2 linked regions of the Cricetulus griseus genome follow. The protein of the gene in region 1 purifies or fractionates together with the protein of each later gene. This does not show direct contact. Links are inferred from orthologs where the notes say so. Each region holds a gene or a part of one and is shown in the gene's direction. Other genes may lie near its edges.

Region 1 (3,791 bases):
GGGCCACCTCAATCAGTGAATTCCAGCTTCAGCGAGAGCTCCTGTCTCAAAAACTTAGATGAAAAGAAATCGAGAAGTGACACTTGATGTCAACCTCTGGCCGTCACATGCATATGTGTATAATTATATAATTACTCACAAAATATATATTATTGGACATTCTAGTCATGGAGGCTATGAGTGCTAACTATATACGAAGCATTTATTTGTACAAGTTTACCGAAGTACTTATTATGTGTTAGGCAAGATTTTAAATTCAGGGACATGTCAGAGAACACAGGACTGTACCCATTCCCAAGGCTCCACTTTTTCCATAGAATTTTATTTATTTCTGATAAAGTACAGGAGGAAGTTTCCTAGTTCAAAGAATCATTGTGCTATTTCAAAGTCCAGTTCAGTACACACCAACAGTAGGAAGCAGCCACCAGCATTCTACATTCCCTTTTGTGTTTCTTATTTTCATCAGTCTTCTACATTCCACATGCCAAAACCTGTCCCTCTGCCCTTCACAGTGTCTTAACCGCATTTATGAGTCATGGAGAGGGACACTGTGCAATCTGTACTCCTATGGAGGCCCAGCAGAGGGGTTGGAGGGTTTCTGTGCAGTTTGCGTGTATCATATCTGTTTTATTTTATTGGTGGTTTAAACATCTCTTTCCATTTTCTTTGCCTTGTCAGAACCAACAGACCTAGATAAAAAGAACACAGAAATTAAAATTGATGAAACAGGTAAATTCATCTTACTGATCAGCCTCTGTTTTAATTTCTTATTGCTTTTTGCTGTTTGTTAATAAACGTCACTGAAATCCTCAGACACTAGCGTATCCAAGCAGTTTAGACAAAATAAGTCCCTGTGTCTAAGTGAATGGGCATGGATTCGATCATTGTCACAGAGTGCTGTATGTTCTTAGCTGCCTAGGGGACTTGGGGGTGACACTGTGAGGTTGCACTCCACAGAGTGAGTATGCCCAATCCTTCCCTGCCTGAGCTTTTTCACTGAAACACAATCACAAAAGGGTGAATTGTGAAGACTATTCATGTAATCTTTTGAAGCCAACAAATCCTGTGTTCCGCCTCCTAGGTGGAATGTTGAAGAGGGCAGAAAGCCTAGCTTCTCTGAGGATCTTGTCCTGCTCCCTTTCCCTGGCCCTGAAGCCTGGGGGTGACATTGATGGTGGAAATTCCTAAGGGACTGCTGTACACTCGGAGCAGTGGAGACCCATCATCTTGAACCCTCTGAGCAGTTCCACAGGGCAAGCTCCCTCTTGTTTGACAGACAACAGAACTGAAACAAAAGTAGCACAGCTAATTAGGGATAGCTGTGGGTGTTTGATAACTGCAAAATGTGTGGCTTCAGCTAGCATTTCCTCAGTGCTCAGATGTAAGACTGAGCTAGGTCCTGGAAGCTTCCAAACCACCTGGCCAGCACTGCTCCCAGTTAGCAGGGACAGTGAAGCACCATTGCCATCTATTGCCTTTGGAAATGTGGCTCTTCTATATGTATGGCCAGCACAGACTGACAGAGACAATAGACACAGCTCTGTGCTGTTGGAAATATTAACACATTACCAAGTCCACACAGCTGTAAACTTTATTAGAAGTTGTTTCAAAACAATCTTTCATCAAGGGAGAGAGTATTAATATGCCCCCAAGGCTTGTTTTCCCTTGTTTAGGGACTCGCATCTCATATTTTTAGTTTGTGCTGATTGGAATCTCAGTTGATCAGAGGACCATTAAGTAAACACCACACAAGCTGCCCATTAGCATTTCAGTCCTGCTCCTAGCACCAGGTAATTAGGCTCAAAGCTCCCATGCTAATAACTTCTCATGTTCCACTCTAAAGCAAACACATCCCTAGTGACTCCTTCCCAGAGTAGTGTGACTGTTGCCAGCAGCATTATCAGGGTGGTGAAGATACTGATTAAATGTCTTCTACTTGGCACAACGCAGGCACTGTTTCTTGGTCGGAGCCACAGCCCTTTCTGCATGATAGGACTAGGCATTAGTGTATTCAGAAAAAAAAAAACAAACAAAGAAACAAAAAAACTCTCTTCCAGTATTACTAGATAGTTTGGGGTTTAAGGGTGTTTTGTGACTTTCTGTGTAAAAACCCACGGGGACACTAAGAACAGCATCTCATAGTGGCATCATACTGGGCCTGCCTGGGAAGTCAGGCAGAAGTCAGGAGAATGTTTAGATATGCCCACCAAACACAGTAGTTAATTGTGTGGCCAAGATTTGAGAAAACTTCATGCCTGCACATCTAAGGCTGGGGACGTAGCTTAGCTGCTGGAATGCTAACCCAGCATTCACTACACGTTGGGTTTAATCTACAGCAACATATGTATTAGGCATAGTGGTGCACGCCTACAATGCCAACACCAAAGCGGTGGAGGCAGGAGGATTGGCAATGCAAGGTCATCGTCTGCGCCAGCCTGGGCTTTAAACAGCCTGACTCACGCATGGCTACTCTCTGGATGAGAACTATAAACTCATCTGTCACTCTAGAGTGATTTCAAATAGGTTGTGACCTCAGTGTCCACCTCCAAATTCCAGCACCCTCACCTGCCATCCCTCCACTCCTCATGCACTGGAACATGCAATGGCTCCGTGATCCCTCCTGTTTCCCCTTGTCTTCTGTCTCCTCACATGTGGCCTCTCAGCGTTCACGAGTCAATCTTGTCTCCTTCCTCAGGGAGCACACCCGGATATGAAGGGGAAGGGGAAAGTGACAAGAACATCTCCAGGAAGCCGGGCAACGTGCTTAAGACCCTGGACCCCATCCTCATCACCATCATAGCCATGAGTGCTCTGGGGGTACTCCTGGGTGCAGTCTGTGGAGTTGTTCTGTATTGTGCCTGTTGGCACAATGGGATGTCGGAGAGAAACCTGTCTGCCCTGGAGAACTATAACTTTGAACTTGTGGATGGCGTCAAGTTGAAAAAGGACAAACTGAACCCACAGAGTAATTACTCAGAGGCATGAAGGCGTGGAGCTGGAGGGAGCACGAAGGACCGAGGTGGGAGGACAGTAGAGGCGCGGGGACTCTGTTGCTCTGCTCTCACTGTAAGCTGGAAAGGGCGTCCGTGACGCCATGCCAGGCTTTTCTCAGGAGCTTCAATGAGCGTCACCTACAGACGCAAGCAGGTGACTGGTAACAACCGGAATCATGTACAGCTCGCTTTCTTCTCTTGGTTTCGTTTGGATAATCAGAAGCCGGTTGAGACCCAAGTGTGACTGACTTCATGGTTCATCCTCTCTTCCCCCTTTTCCTCTCTCTCCTTACCCTGTGATGGATTCTTCTCGGAAACTGCAAAATCCAAGATGCTGGCACCAGGCATTGTTCAGTGGGCCCTTTTGATGGACATGTGATCTGTAGCCCAGTGCCCAGAGCATATTAGTGTAACCACGTTTCAGGGGACGCCAACATCCACTTTTGCATCGCTAACCCGCAGCGAGCACAGGGGGGGAGAAAAGAATTAGACTATTTTGTCTGCAAAGTACTGTGGCCTCAGTACCCATATAGCGTGTCAGCTCTGTTTACCAAGCAATACCGACAGATTTTCTTGATGTTTTACAGTGTTGTACCGAATCTCGTGTTTGTGACCTCCATTCAGAATACCATACCATGCAGCCACCAAACTGCTGGCACCCGGGTGTCCCGCTGATGACCACCACAAAAGTCTTCGGCACTGGCTAGTCTTCGTCCTCTCAAGTGCCTTTTTGTTTGTACTGATTCCTTGTGTCCCGTGGATGACCCACTCTGTTTCTGGTGAAAACCCTTCTCTTCA
Region 2 (4,559 bases), on another chromosome or scaffold:
GCAGAGACAGCCAGCCTCTGGAGCCAAGAAACAGAGGCAACTCAGGGAACAACTGGATGAGCACATCCCCAGGCCAGCAGTGGCCTTCACATTGCTGCCTCCCCCAAGGTGCTGCAAGTAGACTACTGAGTGTGTGAGGCAGGTCAGGCTGTGGAATGGACAGACAGTCAGACACATGAAGCAGTCATGTCAGCTCTGTACCAGGTGTGTAACTGAGAAGCCCATGGTCTGAGCTGGACCCCTGGGCTAGACTCCAGACTCTGCCACCAACCAGCTAGGGTACTTGGGCAGGTCATATGGCCGATGCAGTCTCAATCCACCTCATCGGCACAGCACAGCAAAGATTTGTACATTCAGCGTGTAGTGCTGTGGGATCAGACGGCACATTGACTGTGAGAGAAGAGCCTCACCACCATTCAGGGGCATGGAGAACCAGCGCCTACCCTCAGCCTGCCCAAATCAAAGCAAACCCTTTGCCACTGTTACTGACACTTCCCCACCATGCAGAGGGGTGGGACTTCACTGCTGAAAACCAGTTTGCAGTGTCCGCTGAAGCTAAACACACACCTACCAGGACCCTTCACTCCAGGGTCTAGAGTGGGGAGTCCTAGGGAATCAGCAGAGGGGAGGCTTAACTGCCAGAGTGGCTCACATCACACAGTGAGAGCAAACACAGTCCAAGAGCCCTTGCATTCCTCTCAGAGAGGATAGTGGGACCCCATTTCTATAGCATCCCCAAATAGGCTACACAAAAGAATATGTCATTCAGGAAGACAAAATATAAATGGTCACACCCAGAGAAAAAGCCAGGCAAGGATCACAGGGAAAGAGGGTGATGGTTTCCTGGGAGAGGAATAAGTAGGGACAATGGTCCTTACCGGGTGAGCTGCACTGGGTCCCCCAGACTGTGCCCAGCCAGCGCTCGCCCCTCCCACGACCACCTTTTGTGGTTGCTCTGTTCCGTTCTGCGCGCAGCTGCCTGTTTCGCTTTGGTCTGGCTGCTTTGCACCGGGTTCTCCTTACACCCCAGACCGGGTGCACCCAGCTCTGCAGGCCAGCCCGCGCCCACGGTCTGCCTGGCACTGTCCCTACCCTGCTGGGGTGGTCTTAACACGCCCTGCTGCAGGACCGCGTACCGGACTGGTCAGTTGTTCCTGAGCTTGGGCATCTTGGCACGTGCCACCGCCTGGGGCCCGCGAGGTGCAGTGCCCGTCCCACCTAAGAGATCGGGCGCTCGGGACGAGATGAGCAATATGACCCGTGCAAGTGCTTCTTCCAGCCTCAGTTTACCCTTCCGTGGACGAAAGCTCTGCTTCCAGGCAGTGCTCGTTATAGAGTGCACAGACTCCTGGGATCACCCCGACCACCTCACCCACCCCCACACCAGCCCAGAGTTTAAGGCTTAGGTGGGTGGCATCGCCCTTTGAAGGCAAGCGGTGGGACCCGGCGCGCGCGCTCTCGGCGCGGGGCCGAGCGCCCTCTGCAGGCCATCGCGGGTCCCGCCCCGCCTCCCAGCCCCGCCCCGGCTTCGGGCGGCGCATGCGCGCGGCACAGCGCTCCGCGGGCGGCGAGAGCGAGGCCGGTCCGCAGCCGCGCGGCGCTCAGCGCCCCATTCATGCTGGGCAGCGGCGACGCAGCCACGCAGCGGAGCGGAGCCCGGGCGCTGCGGCCTCGGCCTGGGCGGCCTGCGCGGCGTGGGCGGCCCCGCGGAGGGGCAAGCGGCAGGGCGCGGCGATGGCCGGTGGCGGGGCGCGCCCGGGGTTGTCGGGTGAGTCGGGGCGCAACTTTCCCCTCGGGCGGCGGGAGGCTCATCGCGGCCCGGGGTCCCGAGTGGCTGGGGGGGCGCTGGCGGTGGCCAGGGGGTGTGCGCGGGGACTGCGGCGCGCGTGTCCGCGGCTGGCGTGTCCTGCGGCTCCGGCCGGGCGCCCGCGTGTGTCCGGGCGCGGTCTCCGCGAAAGGCTGCCGCGTCCCGGCGGGTCGCAGCGCGTCCGGGGCCCTGCGATCCGGGCGGCGCAATGTCTGTGGTCGCATTCGCGGCCCCCTCCTCCAGGCAGAAGAGAAAGTTTGCAGTGGCCCCGCGGGGAGGGCCCTGCGGGTGCCCATGTCGGCCCGTGGCGCGCCGGGTCGGACCGGGCCGCGGGTGGGGACGTGGGCCGCAGGCGAGCGCCGCGCTGGGCAGGCCTGGGCAGGGCCGCGGGATTTGGGGAGGTCCCAGGCTGCGTCCTGGGCCGGCCTCGGGCCATGGGGTGGAAGTTGCAAGGCTTAGTGGGGACCCCCGCCCCCTCCGGCCCCGGAGCGCGAGTGAGCTCCGCAGCCACCCCCGGCCCGCAGGCCCTCCAACCGGCAGCTTCAAGGGGAGGTGCGGTGCCACCAGAGAGGCCGCCGGCTCGGGCCTCCTCGGCCTCCCCCTGCGCAGGGCCTCCACGGGGTCATTCCTTCTCTGGAGGCTTCCCCCCTTGCTTCCTGAACGGCCCCAGGCCTGGTGTGCGGCGAGGACGGTGGCGGTGGTGGGCTTACTCTGGCTGCTGCGGGGAAGGGCGAGCGTAGACTCCAGGGAGGCCCCTCTGCCTGCAGAGACCCCAGGTGCAGCCCTGGAAGGGGATGAGAAGGCTTCTGAGGGGCTACTTAGTGCCAGGAGCTGTCTCAGGCTCATCTGTGGGGTGCTGGGGCCACGCCCCTTGAAAGAAAGGGGTGTGTTGGGGGGGGATGGGAAGGAACTGAGCCTCTGCCCCTCAGCCAAGCTCCTACCTCCAGCTTCCTGTCCCCTGGTGCTACCTACCCCTCCAGCAGGTGCTTCGGTCTTCAGTCCTGTAGGGGTGGTGCTACCCTATATGTCTCCAGCCCTCTGGGAACACCCCCAATTTCCCAAGTTTCTAGTTGGGGGTAAGCAGGGGGTCGGGGTGCTGCATTAGGCTGGCCCATAGTCTGCTGGATCTGGGAAGCACTCAGCTAGTGCCCTGGGCAGAGGTGCAAAGCAGGGATTCTGCTTCAGGGCCAAGCTGTCAGGCAGTGGGGAAGTGGCAGCTTGGAGCCCACCAAAAGTGTCTTCAGGCACAGAGGACAGCATGGGTGGAGGCTTGGGGGTCTGTACAAGGTTGGCTGCGCTATGTGTTCTTGGGTTTGGAGCCAGACAAGATGCTGTGGACAAAGCCACATCTGGCCAGGAGTATGGGACTCCAGGGAAGACCAGAAGCTGGCACCTTCTCTGGAGAGCAGGACTCCAAAGTCTCCAGGTAGAAGAGATTGGGCCATTGGAGACCATCTCCTGTGACCTCCTATAGGGTGGGGCAGGGTGACAAGGCAAAGCAATCCTGTGGCTGCTGAGAGGGAACCACTAGGTGAGATGACAGCTAGACCAGCCTGTCCACACCCATTAGGCTCCAGACCATCAGGACACAGGGAGCAAGCTGTCCCCATGTGAAGGCTCTGAGGTCTTTGTTTCTGGGCAAGAACCATGGTGTCATCCAGGGAGAGGGCAGGGTACCAGCTCTGTGTGGGCGACTGGAGGCCTGTTCCAGAGTGGCCCCAGCTGAAGCCCCACCTATAAGCCTGGCCTCTCTCCCTGGGTCCGTACTGTACACACCCAGTACCACCATAGTCCTCCTGTTCAGCTTCTCACTTGTCCATGTTGGGAGCTATGACCATTTGTGCTGCCCCATCTGCATTTCCAGCAGGTGTGTTCTCCCCACTACCTTTCTAGAACACCTCCACCCCACCAGTATCCACTGGACCTGGCTCTTCTAACGCAGGTGCAAAGGCTCTTCTGGGAGCTTCTGGGAGCTAAGGTGGCCAGGCAGCTCACAGAACCCAGAGCCTGTCTGGTCTGCTCCCCTCCCCCAGCCTGGCCCAGAACCCAGTATCAGGCCCTGCTTTGCAGGCACATACTGTTTTCTGAGTGGACTTGGCCCCTTTCCTGCCTGGGGTCTCTACAATAGCTCTAGGTTAGTCCCTTTTTATCGGGGGCTGGCTGTGTGACCTTGGATTTGTCTGAGTCCTGAGTGTAGTCTCTAAACTAGAGAAAGTAGCCCCTGGTAGTCTTTGTGTGTGGTAGGTGTGGGCTTGGGATACCCTCTTTCGTGGCCGGCTGCCCTGAGGCCTATCCCTTCCCATTAGCTTCTGTTGGGAGGCGGGGGAGTGGGCCCAAGGCCAGGCTGGAGTTTGGATGGTGGCTTCTTCAGCCAGGTCCCTCCTGTTTAATATAAAAAGTAGGGCCCGTAATTGCATTAAGACGTGTATAATTATCCCGGAGGAGGGGAGAGCCCAGCCCCTGGTAATTGCAGGCCTGCTTTGAACTGATAAACGGTGAGTGATTCATGTTTTCTTTGGAGTTCACATGGAATCAGTGCTCAGCCCAGGCCCGTTTTGTTTGCAAGCAACCTGCTGTCTAGTCTGCTTTGGTTTAGGGGGTAGGAAGCTGGTGGGGGTGTCTCTCTTCTTGTCTGCCTGTGGACACAAGGGGCACAAGGCAGCTGACAGCCTGCTGGGAAGTTTCCTGCAAGGTGGTACCACCCTGCATCTGCTCTGGGATTTATGCCAACATTTTTGCTGCCCTGAACCTC

The links.
Region 2: the proteins of Nrp1 (region 1) and Plxna1 purify together in Homo sapiens (affinity purification with western blotting; 4 studies listed by BioGRID). This does not show direct contact. The link is inferred for Cricetulus griseus from reciprocal best matches to the Homo sapiens genes NRP1 and PLXNA1.

What each region holds. Positions count from the first base shown.
Region 1 is NC_048596.1:205,308,315-205,312,105, forward strand, and holds part of Nrp1 (neuropilin-1), read left to right. Parts: intron 1-678; coding exon 679-729; intron 730-2,695; coding exon 2,696-2,985; 3' UTR 2,986-3,791. UniProt on the Homo sapiens protein: Cell-surface receptor involved in the development of the cardiovascular system, in angiogenesis, in the formation of certain neuronal circuits and in organogenesis outside the nervous system. Mediates the chemorepulsant activity of semaphorins.
Region 2 is NC_048601.1:53,941,981-53,946,539, forward strand, and holds the start of Plxna1 (plexin-A1), read left to right. Parts: upstream 1-1,557; 5' UTR 1,558-1,768; intron 1,769-4,559. UniProt on the Homo sapiens protein: Coreceptor for SEMA3A, SEMA3C, SEMA3F and SEMA6D. Necessary for signaling by class 3 semaphorins and subsequent remodeling of the cytoskeleton. Plays a role in axon guidance, invasive growth and cell migration.